Neurospora crassa OR74A: one gene and its partners. The protein of the gene in region 1 interacts with the protein of each later gene in a pairwise test. Links are inferred from orthologs where the notes say so. Each region holds a gene or a part of one and is shown on either strand. Other genes may lie near its edges.

Region 1 (3,752 bases):
GACATGGGCTTAGGCCTTTTAAAACCCCTCGAATGTCTGGAAAGCTTCCATCATGATGAAAACGGAAGCCAGACTTGGTCACCCCGCAAAATTCCCCAGGAAAGCAACCTTGTCGTGGGTCAACATGATGGAAAGAGGCAGAAGATGCTATTCCGAGAACACCGAGGTCGAGATTGAAGCCAGAATGGAAATGTCCGTGCCGCTGACCACGGCCCGGACTGTCTCACGATGTTTATCGGGTGGATATCACGACATGGTGCCTGGATGGGATGTTGACATGCACGGGGGAGACGGGAAGGACGGGATATGTAGATAGCGTCCATTCAAGTTGGGTTAAATGGAGACGACGCTCCACATCAAGCTGTCGTCAACAGTGCGATTGGGATTGTGTGGTCTCTGGGGACTGTGGCCGCAGTGACGTTGATGTCCGTCTTCGGAGTCCTTCCTGTCGACGACATGAAGCCGCTCCAAGGTCAGTCAAGCTGAGACGGTCGAGTGATTCAAGACGACGACGGGAGGCATGCTGTGGTCAGGTTGACAGAGGAAAAGAGAGAAAGTTGATAAAATTCAAAGTCGCCATATTAGAAATCCATGCACTTGGTGGCGAAACAACAGTCTGCTTATTTTGTTTTAATAATCGTGAGACATGTGTCGTGGTGTTGATGCTGAACCTCCAATTAGGGACCTGGCTATGGCACGTGACTGGCACTGGCATCATTGAATTGAGCTACGGAGTCTTGACTGTTAGATACTTGCTGTACTGCTTTGCATAGAGTATAACAGCCAGTACATCCCCGCATTTTACAGTGGGCCCGGTGATGTCGCAATTCTGGCGACAAAGCAACAAAGCGAAAAAAACGAGGATGGGTGACTCCACTCTGTACCTGGGAGCTTCCCGCGCCCCACCCCAGTTGATTTCGCCATTTTGCCCTTCTCTTTGCGATCAAGAGCGACGGCCAATCTTGTCTCTTTCCGTCTGCAACATTTCACAGTCACACACACACAGAGAGAAGGAGCAACGAAGTCAAGACACATCCGATTTCAGGCGGTGTGAAGCAACAGCTGAGGTTCAACACCCCGTTGCGATACTGCCCGAGACTTCCACTTTGCCATTTTGGAAAGAGTGCTCTCTCTAAGGTAGTATACCTCATCCATTCCATCCGTCACCGACAGGCGACAGCCGTTCCAGAGCTGTCACTTACCTGGTATTCGGTTACATACCTACCTCTACGCTACTGTACAAAGAGGGAGCACGGGCACTCGTACCCGACACCTACAGTAGCTTCCTTCAAAGAGCAAGAGAGCAGTCACATACCTACTAGCTGCCCAGACTGAAAGGAAGAGACAGCAAGGCACCGAAAGCCGGAGAGACTAGAAGTTTGAGACATTCCACTTGGACAACAGAAGTGGAACAAGTGAACCTGGAAATAGGTCAGCAGCGGTCATCATCATCACAGTACGTAAACCACCAAAAAAGACCCTTTAAACACTTTGACTCGGATCGATGGCGACCAAGGTGCTGTGCATTGCGTGAGGTGCCACCTTGTCCCGTCCACATCCTCGCTGCTCCCGTCCTAGGTCATCCTCCAACAGACATCGATTCCTCCTTAACGTGATTGCCCTCCAAACTGCAGCTATACTGCGCTGCACCAGATAAGAGTGCACTAACACTTACACCGCACCAATAACAACAGGTCCAACAACGTGCCCACCTCCACGGCAGGGAATCAATCCTTCAACGGTCCCTCTTTCATCTCAGCTGAGCTCTTCCTGATCGCCTCCAGTCCTCCTCCCTCCCCGGGGCTCCATCTCCAATCCTCCGCCAACAACATCCAGATCCCATCACGTGTCCATCCATCCAGAAACATCAAGATCGCCAGTTGGGCTGCCCGGCATCACATCGCTGCTGTTTGTTGTCTGCGGGACCCTGCCTTCCTTCTGCTCCTCCTCCAGCTTCATCTAGACCTGCCCAACGGTGGAGCGAGTCTGGATTCCGCATTAACGAGATTGGACCTTTGAGACGGTAGACCGCCCAAACATCGACCACACCAGGGCATCCATCCATACACCTCACATCAACCAGCCCGATCACGCAAGACCACATACCCTTTCCCGCCCCAGCCTGACCGACGGGAGTACCTACTACTAGTACATACCTTGGACTGGACAGGACTGGACAGGCAGGACAGTAGTGTACAGGACAGCACTGCGATACATACAGCAGCAATCTGCGTCCCCTGGTCAGCACGCCATCCATCGCCCTCTAGCCGACCAATGCTTGGTGTTGCCTCTTCCGCCATTCAACAACAGAACCACGCAACCGCAAACGCACTCTAAATTCCCCCTCAGAACGCACAATCGCAGCGTCATTCTGGGCCCGGCGGTCCTCGACTCCCCCTTCTCCCAATGGATTCCTACCACCTCGCCCCGTCTCGTCCGACTGCGAGCTTCGGACATGATAATGACGCCCCGCTCCAACATGGGCCTCTAGTGAACTCCTACTCTCATCACCATAACAACCACTCGCGCGACACCGACTCCGATCCCACCGACCAAAACTGCGACCGCAAACGACCCGAGCAACAGGCAAGGTTGCGCTCCCGCAACAGCGTCACCAACATGTCGTCCGTCCTCATGAGCAAGACTGTCACGCCTTTCCTTCGGGAACACATTCCCAGCATCTACGCCCCCATCGGCAAGCCGGGGAACCAAGAGACGGCCAGAGCAGAGAACCCCAATTCCAAGTACTGCTATAGACACCACCCCGACTCAAAGTGCCGAAGGGCTGCCGACAAGGCCAAGATGGTCATGATTCAGAGCGAGCTAGACAAGCTCACATCAGCGGTGGGTCTTCATACAAAACATAAACATTGATTGCTTCTTGTCTCCAAGGTTTGGTGGACTGACTGGTACCTTGCTTGAAATAATAGGATCAGCAAGCTGTGACCCACGTGTGGTCCCTGTTCTCGGCCGCCCCTGCCCGACATCGCGACCTGATGCTTCAGGGTATCCTCTCCCAGCTCTGCTTCCCCCAGCTCTCCTTCGTCTCGAGAGAAGTCAACGAAGCCCTCAAGATCGACTTCATCTCCGCCCTCCCCGTCGAGCTCGCCCAAAAGGTCTTATGCTATCTCGACACCGTCAGCTTGACCAAGGCCGCCCAGGTCAGCCAGAGGTGGCGAACCCTGGCCGACTCGGATGCCGTCTGGGTCCGCATGTGCGAGCAACACGTCAACAGGAAGTGCACAAAGTGTGGATGGGGATTGCCCTTGCTGGAACGCAAGAAGCTGCGCAACTACACCAGACAAAGACAGCTGGCCAAGGGTGGGCCACAAGGGAGGGTCACAGAACTGGCCGACTCCCACGACAGCCAGGATCGATCCGTCAATCAACATGGAAAGCGCCCGGCAGCAGAGGCGGAGGAAGAGGACCCCATCAAGAAGCGCCAGTGTATGGCTGCAGCAGAAGCCTCCAAGGCGGTAACGCAACCCAAGACCCGAAGCTGGAAGGCCGTCTACCGGGATCGCTGGCAGGTCAGCTACAACTGGAAAAACAGCCGATACAAGTTGTCGGTTCTCAAGGGTCATGAGAATGGTGTCACATGTCTCCAGCTCGATGATAACATCCTTGCGACTGGATCGTACGACACCACTATCAAGATCTGTATGTGGTCTTGCTTCTTTAAACATTGGTGCTCGCTTTAAACTAACACATTGCTGACAGGGAACATTGAGACTGAGGAGTGCATTCGGACC
Region 2 (3,752 bases), on another chromosome or scaffold:
CTGTGTACGAGGCGGCGCGCCAGCATGCGTGAGTAGAACTTTTGAAACACGTCCTTGTCCTGGATGTACTTGAACACAGTCATAATCTGCGTCAGCGTGTTCTCGAGCTCCGCCTCCTCCACTCCGGTGCTGCTCTTGCGGAGAAGCACGTCCGTGTACTTGGCCAGCAGTTCCGGTGACTTGTTGGAGCCCGATTTGCAGACCTCGTTCCGGTTCACAAACTCCTTGCACGCGTTGTCTAGAGATCTGGTGAAGTCAGGCTCCTTGTTGAAAGCGCGCTCAACTAACCCCTGGTACTGAGTGTGGATCTCAAGCAGAGCGTCGACGTAGACCTTGGGCTCCAGCTTGTCGGCGTCTGCAGCCACCTTGGCAACAGCCGCCAAACCAGCCTTGCGAACATGGGCCTCGAAACGAGTCCGCAGAGGCTCCAGACCGTCGGGAATGCGAGAAAGGAGGCTGTACATCCGCCTCATGTCGTCCTCTCGGTTGTTGTCCAGCAGGGCCTGGAATTCTTCACGCAACAGGGTAGAGTGCTCCGCGATGAGGGCCTGGTTGCAAGTCCTCTTCAGATGTAGGGCAATATCTGGATGCAGATACATGCGTACGCGCTCCTCCTCCTCAGCCAGGCGAGCCTCGGCCTTCTTCATGTACTCGACAACGCTATTCTCGGCCACGAACTGTTTGCTTTCGTTTTGGTAGAAGACTTTGGTCGCCTCCAGGAACGGCCTTTCAAAGTGGTACCTATACACTTCCAGCGTCGTCTTGGTGTTGTCGCCTTCGTCCATACCGAGTGAGACGAAGCTATCGACCACCTGTTTGATCTGGGTGTACTCGATGGTTTCACCGAGGCGTTGCCTTTCCACTAGCTTGAGAACGGCGTCCATGACTTTCTTAGAGACAGCCTGGAACAACACGTCACGCCACTGAACAAGGTGGAGCGTGTAGACGTCGTAAATGTTCTTTTTCCCTTCATCCATCTCGCGCTTAACCCAGTGTCTATTCAGGTACTTGAAGAGATGGTGGATATACTTGGCGGCGTTGGTGTAGCGTTGCCATTCGCGAATGTAAAAAGCTAACAAGGCCTCGTCCTTGTGAGCCTCCGCTTCGGAGACTAGGTGCTTAAGGTGGTCTGTCAGGTAGTTGGCCAGCTTCTTGTACAAGTCCTCACCAAGCAGATGGGCTGGTGCATGTTAGTCCTCTTGCTCAATCTGTTTAACGGGCAAATGCAGGGAAAGACAACATACCCCCTCTCTGGGCCCCGATTCCCGGAAGGTGATTACTCGGACTGCTGCTACCGCCGTTGGCCTTCTGCGATGTGCAGAAGTTGTGCACCGCCCTATGCCGCAGTTAGTACCATGTTGAAGGAGTGTATAGACAAATAGGGCATCCGTCCAACTAACGTGTAGATTCCCATGTACTACAAACGGCGTGTGTTAGCGGGGGGTAACGTGGACGGATGGGCGAGGAAGAAACATACACTGCTCATGTCGAGGCCTTCTTGGAGGTTGGTCATGATCTTGTTGATACTAGACTGCAAGTATGGCCAACTGATTGGCAGAGGGTCAGTACGGCTGTTTGGAGGCAGAGGGGCCAGCAGCGAAGAGAGCGAAAACATACGTGCTGTCGATACCATCACTGCCAGAAGGCTGCTGCCCGTACGCCCCCATCATCATGGTTGCCGGAGGCATGTTTGTTGTGTCTATGTGTATGTTCGTTTGAAGAGCGATCGTGCGCCGGGAATCGAAGAAAGAATGCGATGTTGGGAATAATATGCCGGCTGACAAGTGGTGGTGGACGAGGGGCGTAATCCGTGAGAAAACTCAAGCTGACCAGGTCGTGTTGGGTCGCGTGTGTTCGTCCAGAGGCTGTCGGGGGGGCAAGAACGAGTTTGATCTGGGCGACCGGTCGTTCTTGAGGTTGGAAGCGCGTTGACTGCGACCGGTGACGAAGGGTAAATGGACTGGGTGGCAGCCAGAGGCGTAGAAGTAGAAGCTCGTCCTGAGCGATGAGGCGCGCCACAGGTCTGGAAGGTCGGATGGATGGCGGGGGTCACCACGTCCTTAGGTCCGTCGGTGTCGGCTGGGAGAAGGACCGTGACCGTGAGCAGACAGACAGACGGGTTGATCGGATATCGGGTCGGGTGAAGAAAGGATTGTTCCCTTGGAGTGACGGGTGTGAGGTCGCAGCCTAGAGGTGAGGTGTAGAGGTAGGTACCTTGGCTGGTTGTTGTTGTTGTTGTTGTTGTTGTTGTGGTGGTGTTCTGACAGGTTTCAATGTTCTGTTCTGAGTGTAGGTAATCAAGTTGAAGAGTGGAGTTTCCAGTTTCCAGATTGGCCCCCCGAGGCTGCTGCTGCTGCTGCTGCTGCCGTGGTCGATGCCCGGATGATAGAGCGATGCCGTCGTTCGTTGACGGTTTTCAGGCTGCAGCGGCGTGGCAGGCATCGATTGACACTGACAGCAAGCAGCATGGAGGCTCCAGAGCAGTGGCCCCCCCGCCAGTAAACGTCCACCGCGAACACGCAAAATTGTGGGGAACCAACCATGGACGGGAAAGTGGCGGGGATGGAGACGACCTATGCCCTGCGATGCGGGACGGGCGACCATCTAGTGTACATTCCGTCATTACCGGTACATCTAACAATGGCGGCTAACAGATCTGATGAAGGTATGTACCTTATATTGATATAATACCATGTTTCTTCTCAATATGAATACAATAACCGGAACTGAAGTAATAAAATATGGGGATGGCACATATGTACAGCTGGCGGGGCATTTTACATACAAGAAAGCAGAACAGTGACAACGATGTAGCTACTTGTAGGTAGAGGTAGGTCAGCCGTTTACAGCCCCTTTAACCGCTAATGTTGTAGAAGGACACCATTGGTGGCCAGAATTCGATTAAACTGCATGTATTTTTCTGCTGGGAGCTCACGGCAGGCAATATGATATCTCCTTACCATGTCAAATCTTTCGCTATCCGTTCCCCTTTTCATGTCTCATAATGCATATACAATCGAGTAATAATCATCACCATCCTTGCTAATATCAACATCACCAACATTACCAACTGATCAAACACTATTTGTTACCGCTGTATGCTAATTTGCTAATCCAAAAACCCCACCCAAAAGAACACAGAGGCAGAACCGTGCTGAGGTATCGACAAAGTACGAGAAAATGCAAGTAAGTATGCTCCCATGCGGGTGGTTGGAGACGTTCGACGTGATTCATCTCCCCCGCTTTGTTTTTCTTTCCCTCTCAATATCCTTCGGGGCTTGACCGCCCATTATAACCGTCATTACCTTCCCCTCTGAGTCTCCAAATCATCTCCGCCTCCCAGCTTTACTACCAGCCTAAACACATTGACCGTAAAGTTGGTCAACCAGAAAAAAAGCCCAAGCAGCTGAAACGCGGCCAGCGCCTGGCTGAAATGGTCCGTGAAGCGATCTTGACTGTTATGATAAACCAACACCTCATATGCCAACGCCGTGCTGGCCGCCTTGAACACGATGAAAAACACATCCATCAGCACCAACCCGCTCTTTTGCGTCACCGGCCTTAGTCCCAATGGGCGGCCCGTGTATTCGTCCCAGAGCATGTACCCGATATAGGGAATCGCTATCGTGTCCACCGCAATCGCCACTATCGCTTGAGTCCGCTCTGACGACCCGGGCGAGATCTGTCTTATCAGGGAAAGCTCTTGGTCGACGTATCCTTCGGAATTGGAGGCTGAATGCAGGGCTCGTAAT
Region 3 (3,752 bases), on another chromosome or scaffold:
GACCAGTGTCAAAGTCGGTGGCAGTCCATTGGGAAGGTCTGGCGCTTATGGTTCAAGCCGTGATGGGGGTTTGCCTAGAAATGCTTCGGGTAGCTTGAGCGAGCTCGTCACACCTCATGAGATTCTGCTACCGCCCGACACCTCGGGTGTTCAGTCCACAAAGTGGGACAGTGAGGTAGAGGACCAAGAAGATGCCGATAGTATCGTACCCAGCGACAGCATCAGCTGCGTGGGGACTCGCAGGAGCGGTCGCGCATACTACAATTAAGCCGCGCGCCGGCAGGTGGGTTCACAATGGACAACCTAAGCATAGAAGAATGTCATAAGTGTCGACTTGCAACGCACAGGGAGCATATCCTGAAAATAGAATAAAAAGCTTCTGTGTTCATCTTGTATCGGTCATCGTCTGCGGCCCTACGTCTATGGATGCCCAAGATGTAGGGCATGTGAGATAATGGTATGGCGATAGGCAGACCATGGCCAGTCATGCTCGTAATGGACAATAGGGCGGGCGAACCAGCACTGCGACAAATCGCAGGGAACAATCCGTGATATGTAAAACATAGAAAGGCTTTTACCATTGCCCAGAACCGAGTTGGCTAGAATGTTATATATATATATATCCAGTCCTGCTCGACGTACCTTTGTTTCATCATGGGAGCGCCTCGCGTTTGACGGGTGGTTGGAAGTCGGCTGGTCGGCAGGCAACGGCCGGCAGGGGCAGAACAGAAAGATACTCCCTCATCTTCCTTGCATCTTCCGTCACCGATCTACGGCGTCAATGTGTAGTGTAGGTCACAGTAGGCGTTCGGGCGGGGCGTAGACTCATCTTCTAGGGGGTGGAGACTGTGGGGATTCCGTCATGTCGGTTTTGCGCCGCGGCCCGGGTACCTAAGTACCTACATACATTGACCTTGTAGGCGGAGGGTATGAACGTATGCTGCATGATATAACAATGCAGCGTTATGGACAATAAGAATCTCCTGCAGAGCAAGGTGTATCCGGTAGAATAGAAAAGACTTGCAAGATATAGTTTAGGCCGTGAGAAGGACCAGTCTATCAACGAAACGTCAAATGCGACCGTCTCTGCCAGAAACATTCTTCATACGATATACACAGTACTGGCAGTAGAGAGAGTACTATGTACATACTAAGAACGATCGTCACCGCTAGCTTAGATCTAACTCCGTGATTGATTGGATACAACCACAAGTACAGATACTTGAAAGCCTCCGATACTCGGCATCGACGAGTCACTCCTTAGCGACCAAATTCCGTCTCAGAACTCGCTCACTTGGCTCACTTGGTTGCTCACTCAACATCTCTCTTTACTCATTCCCTTGCTCAGAACTAACAGGGAGGCAGAGATAAGTTAGGTCAAATTATCAAGGACACACCTAGTTTTATGTTAGCCATGTTCTTGGAGCTTGCCCTTGCCTCACTATCTTAAGCGGTAATTGTGACCCAGCTAACGGAAAGACAGCATCTATTAGGCCAGGAACCAATAGGGAAGGTCCTCACATCCGCGCGAAGCAAAAGTATAACATTCACGCAGCATCACCACTCATCTTACTACCTATCCGCACTCATCTGGCACTCAGTCACGTATACCATGCCTCCCTTCGAGCTTGGGGACCCTATACCCTCGGAGACCGCTCATGTATGCACCCATTCCCCAGCACATACAGTTACCACCATTACAATGCCTCTTTCTGACCTCAAGTTGCTGTCTCTAGGCCGTGAGCGTCTCACTCCCAACCTGGAGTGCCAATGTTGGCTATGAGGAGGGCCAGGATTGGGTGGTTAAACGCATGGCAACGGGTTATCCTCGGTATGTGGGCGCCTGTCCTCCAGACATCATGATCACTACAGTCGTAGTATCTCGATGAGCACTACAGTTGTACTGACCGACCTGTGTCAGCTTCTTCATCCATCGGACCATTCAGGCCTTTGCTGCGGACATTGTGGCCACGCATGTCAGTACCAAGGCCAAGCGAACTAGTGATATCACAGCCATGCTTTTCCCGACGCCGACCATTGCCTCTCGCTGCGTTGATTTCATCCGCTCGCGGGCACCTGCTGATGTCTGCAGCAACATTGAGGTCGTCAACCTCGTTCTTGATATGTCGGATCCCGAGGCGCGTGCCCTGGAGCCCCTTTGTCCATCCATCTCTGCTGTGATCATGCCACAGGACGGCTTTCCATTCGCAAAACAGTACTGGCAGCATAGTGGAGATGGCGTTTCTAGCCGTCGGGCTGAGTTCTGCCACGGTTTGTTCAAAGACGGCTTGCTGCGTCCTGATACTGAACTCCGTAATGCGGCTGTCTCTGCAGCAAAGCCGTGTCGCGGTCCCAAGCGCTATCAGCGGCAGGCTTCGCTTGACGCTGGAGGAAACCAACAAACGATAATGCACGGCCATATCCACAGGGCTACCGGAGAGACTGCGATGATCCAAGAGACTTCCCGTTTTCTAGAAGAGCGTTTCGGCAGAAATCTCGACCTCTCCTTTGTCCATCCCGCCAAGTCCGCCATCAAGAGACGAATTGCCGGAGCACTGCGAAGTGCCGACCATGACCTTGGAGGTTCCCCTTCGCTGTCAGAAAAGCAGATGAGTTCCAACACCCGCGGCATCGCCAATCTTCGCGAGGAAGATATCTATCTCTTCCCATGCGGAATGAACGCCATTTTTCATGCCCACAGAGCGCTGTATTCCATTCGAACCCCGCCGGGCAGCACGCCGCTAAAGAGCGTCAACTTTGGCTTCCCTTACGTCGATACGCTCAAGATTCTGGAGAAGTTCAACCCTTCTGGTGCGTTATTCTACGGCCACGGTTCCAAGTCCGACCTCGACGACTTGGAGACTCGACTCGAGTCCGGAGAGCGGTATCTCGCTCTTTTCTGTGAATTTCCGGGCAACCCCTTACTCACTTGTCCCGACCTGGTCCGTATTCGGGAGCTGGCGGACAAGTACGAATTTGCCGTTGTTGTAGACGAGACTATTGGCACTTTTGCGAATGTGAATGTCCTCCAGTTCGCGGACATTGTTGTCAGCAGTCTCACAAAGATTTTTAGCGGCGACTGCAACGTCATGGGTGGCGGTGCTATATTTAACCCTAATTCACGATACTATTCAGCCCTGAAATCCTTCGTCCAGCAGCAATTGGAGGACACCTACTGGCCCGAGGATGTCATTTTCATGGAGCGCAACAGCAGAGACTTCGTCGCGCGCATAGACCGAGTCAATGCAAATGCCGAAGCCATTTGCCGTGTCCTCCAAGATCATCCGCTCGTCAAGACTCTCTACTACCCCAAGTACAATGATTCACGGGCCAACTATGAAGCGGTCAAACTGCCACAAGGAGGCTACGGTGGCCTTATCTCAGTGGTCCTCAAAGGGAAGAAGCAGGCTGTGGCCTTTTACGATGCGATCGAAACGGCCAAGGGTCCGAGCTTGGGAACCAACTTCACATTGACTTCGCCCTATGTGCTCCTGGCGCATTATCAGGAGCTTGACTGGGCTGAGCAGTATGGTGTTGACAGGAATTTGATACGGATCAGTGTCGGGCTGGAGGGAACAGATGAGCTTATCAATGTGTTTACCAGAGCACTGAAAGTTGCCGAGGAACAATCTCAATATCCTTGAAAGTAAGGACAGGTAGCGAATGCTTACAGATGTAAACATGTTAAGATGGGTCTGTGGTAGGAAGAGGAGTGAAATGATACAAACCTTGTGTTCTCTTCGCATGTCACA

The links. The genes of interacting proteins can lie anywhere in the genome.
Region 2: the proteins of scon-2 (region 1) and cul-1 interact in binary tests that used the Saccharomyces cerevisiae proteins (3 or more experiments, as listed by UniProt). The link is inferred for Neurospora crassa OR74A from reciprocal best matches to the Saccharomyces cerevisiae genes MET30 and CDC53.
Region 3: the proteins of scon-2 (region 1) and met-7 interact in a two-hybrid assay, tested with the Saccharomyces cerevisiae proteins (2 studies listed by BioGRID, with this or other methods). The link is inferred for Neurospora crassa OR74A from reciprocal best matches to the Saccharomyces cerevisiae genes MET30 and STR2.

The regions. Positions count from the first base shown.
Region 1 is NC_026503.1:4,897,319-4,901,070, forward strand, and holds the start of scon-2 (sulfur controller-2 protein), read left to right. Parts: upstream 1-935; 5' UTR 936-1,456; intron 1,457-1,694; 5' UTR 1,695-2,406; coding exon 2,407-2,844; intron 2,845-2,930; coding exon 2,931-3,660; intron 3,661-3,720; coding exon 3,721-3,752. UniProt on the Saccharomyces cerevisiae protein: Substrate-recognition component of the SCF(Met30) complex, an E3 ubiquitin ligase complex that mediates the ubiquitination and subsequent proteasomal degradation of target proteins. Negatively regulates sulfur amino acids biosynthesis genes expression.
Region 2 is NC_026504.1:5,762,371-5,766,122, forward strand, and holds the start of cul-1 (Cullin 1), read right to left. Parts: upstream 2,321-3,752; 5' UTR 1,689-2,320; coding exon 1,618-1,688; intron 1,548-1,617; coding exon 1,478-1,547; intron 1,418-1,477; coding exon 1,401-1,417; intron 1,337-1,400; coding exon 1,245-1,336; intron 1,181-1,244; coding exon 1-1,180. Other genes in the region: NCU05203 (hypothetical protein), read right to left, coding at 3,302-3,752. UniProt on the Saccharomyces cerevisiae protein: Core component of multiple cullin-RING-based SCF (SKP1-CUL1-F-box) E3 ubiquitin-protein ligase complexes which mediate the ubiquitination and subsequent proteasomal degradation of target proteins.
Region 3 is NC_026507.1:2,514,548-2,518,299, reverse strand, and holds the start of met-7 (cystathionine gamma-synthase), read left to right. Parts: upstream 1-1,260; 5' UTR 1,261-1,612; coding exon 1,613-1,660; intron 1,661-1,736; coding exon 1,737-1,831; intron 1,832-1,921; coding exon 1,922-3,644; 3' UTR 3,645-3,752. Other genes in the region: NCU02429 (hypothetical protein), read left to right, coding at 1-268. UniProt on the Saccharomyces cerevisiae protein: Catalyzes the formation of L-cystathionine from O-succinyl-L-homoserine (OSHS) and L-cysteine, via a gamma-replacement reaction. In the absence of thiol, catalyzes gamma-elimination to form 2-oxobutanoate, succinate and ammonia.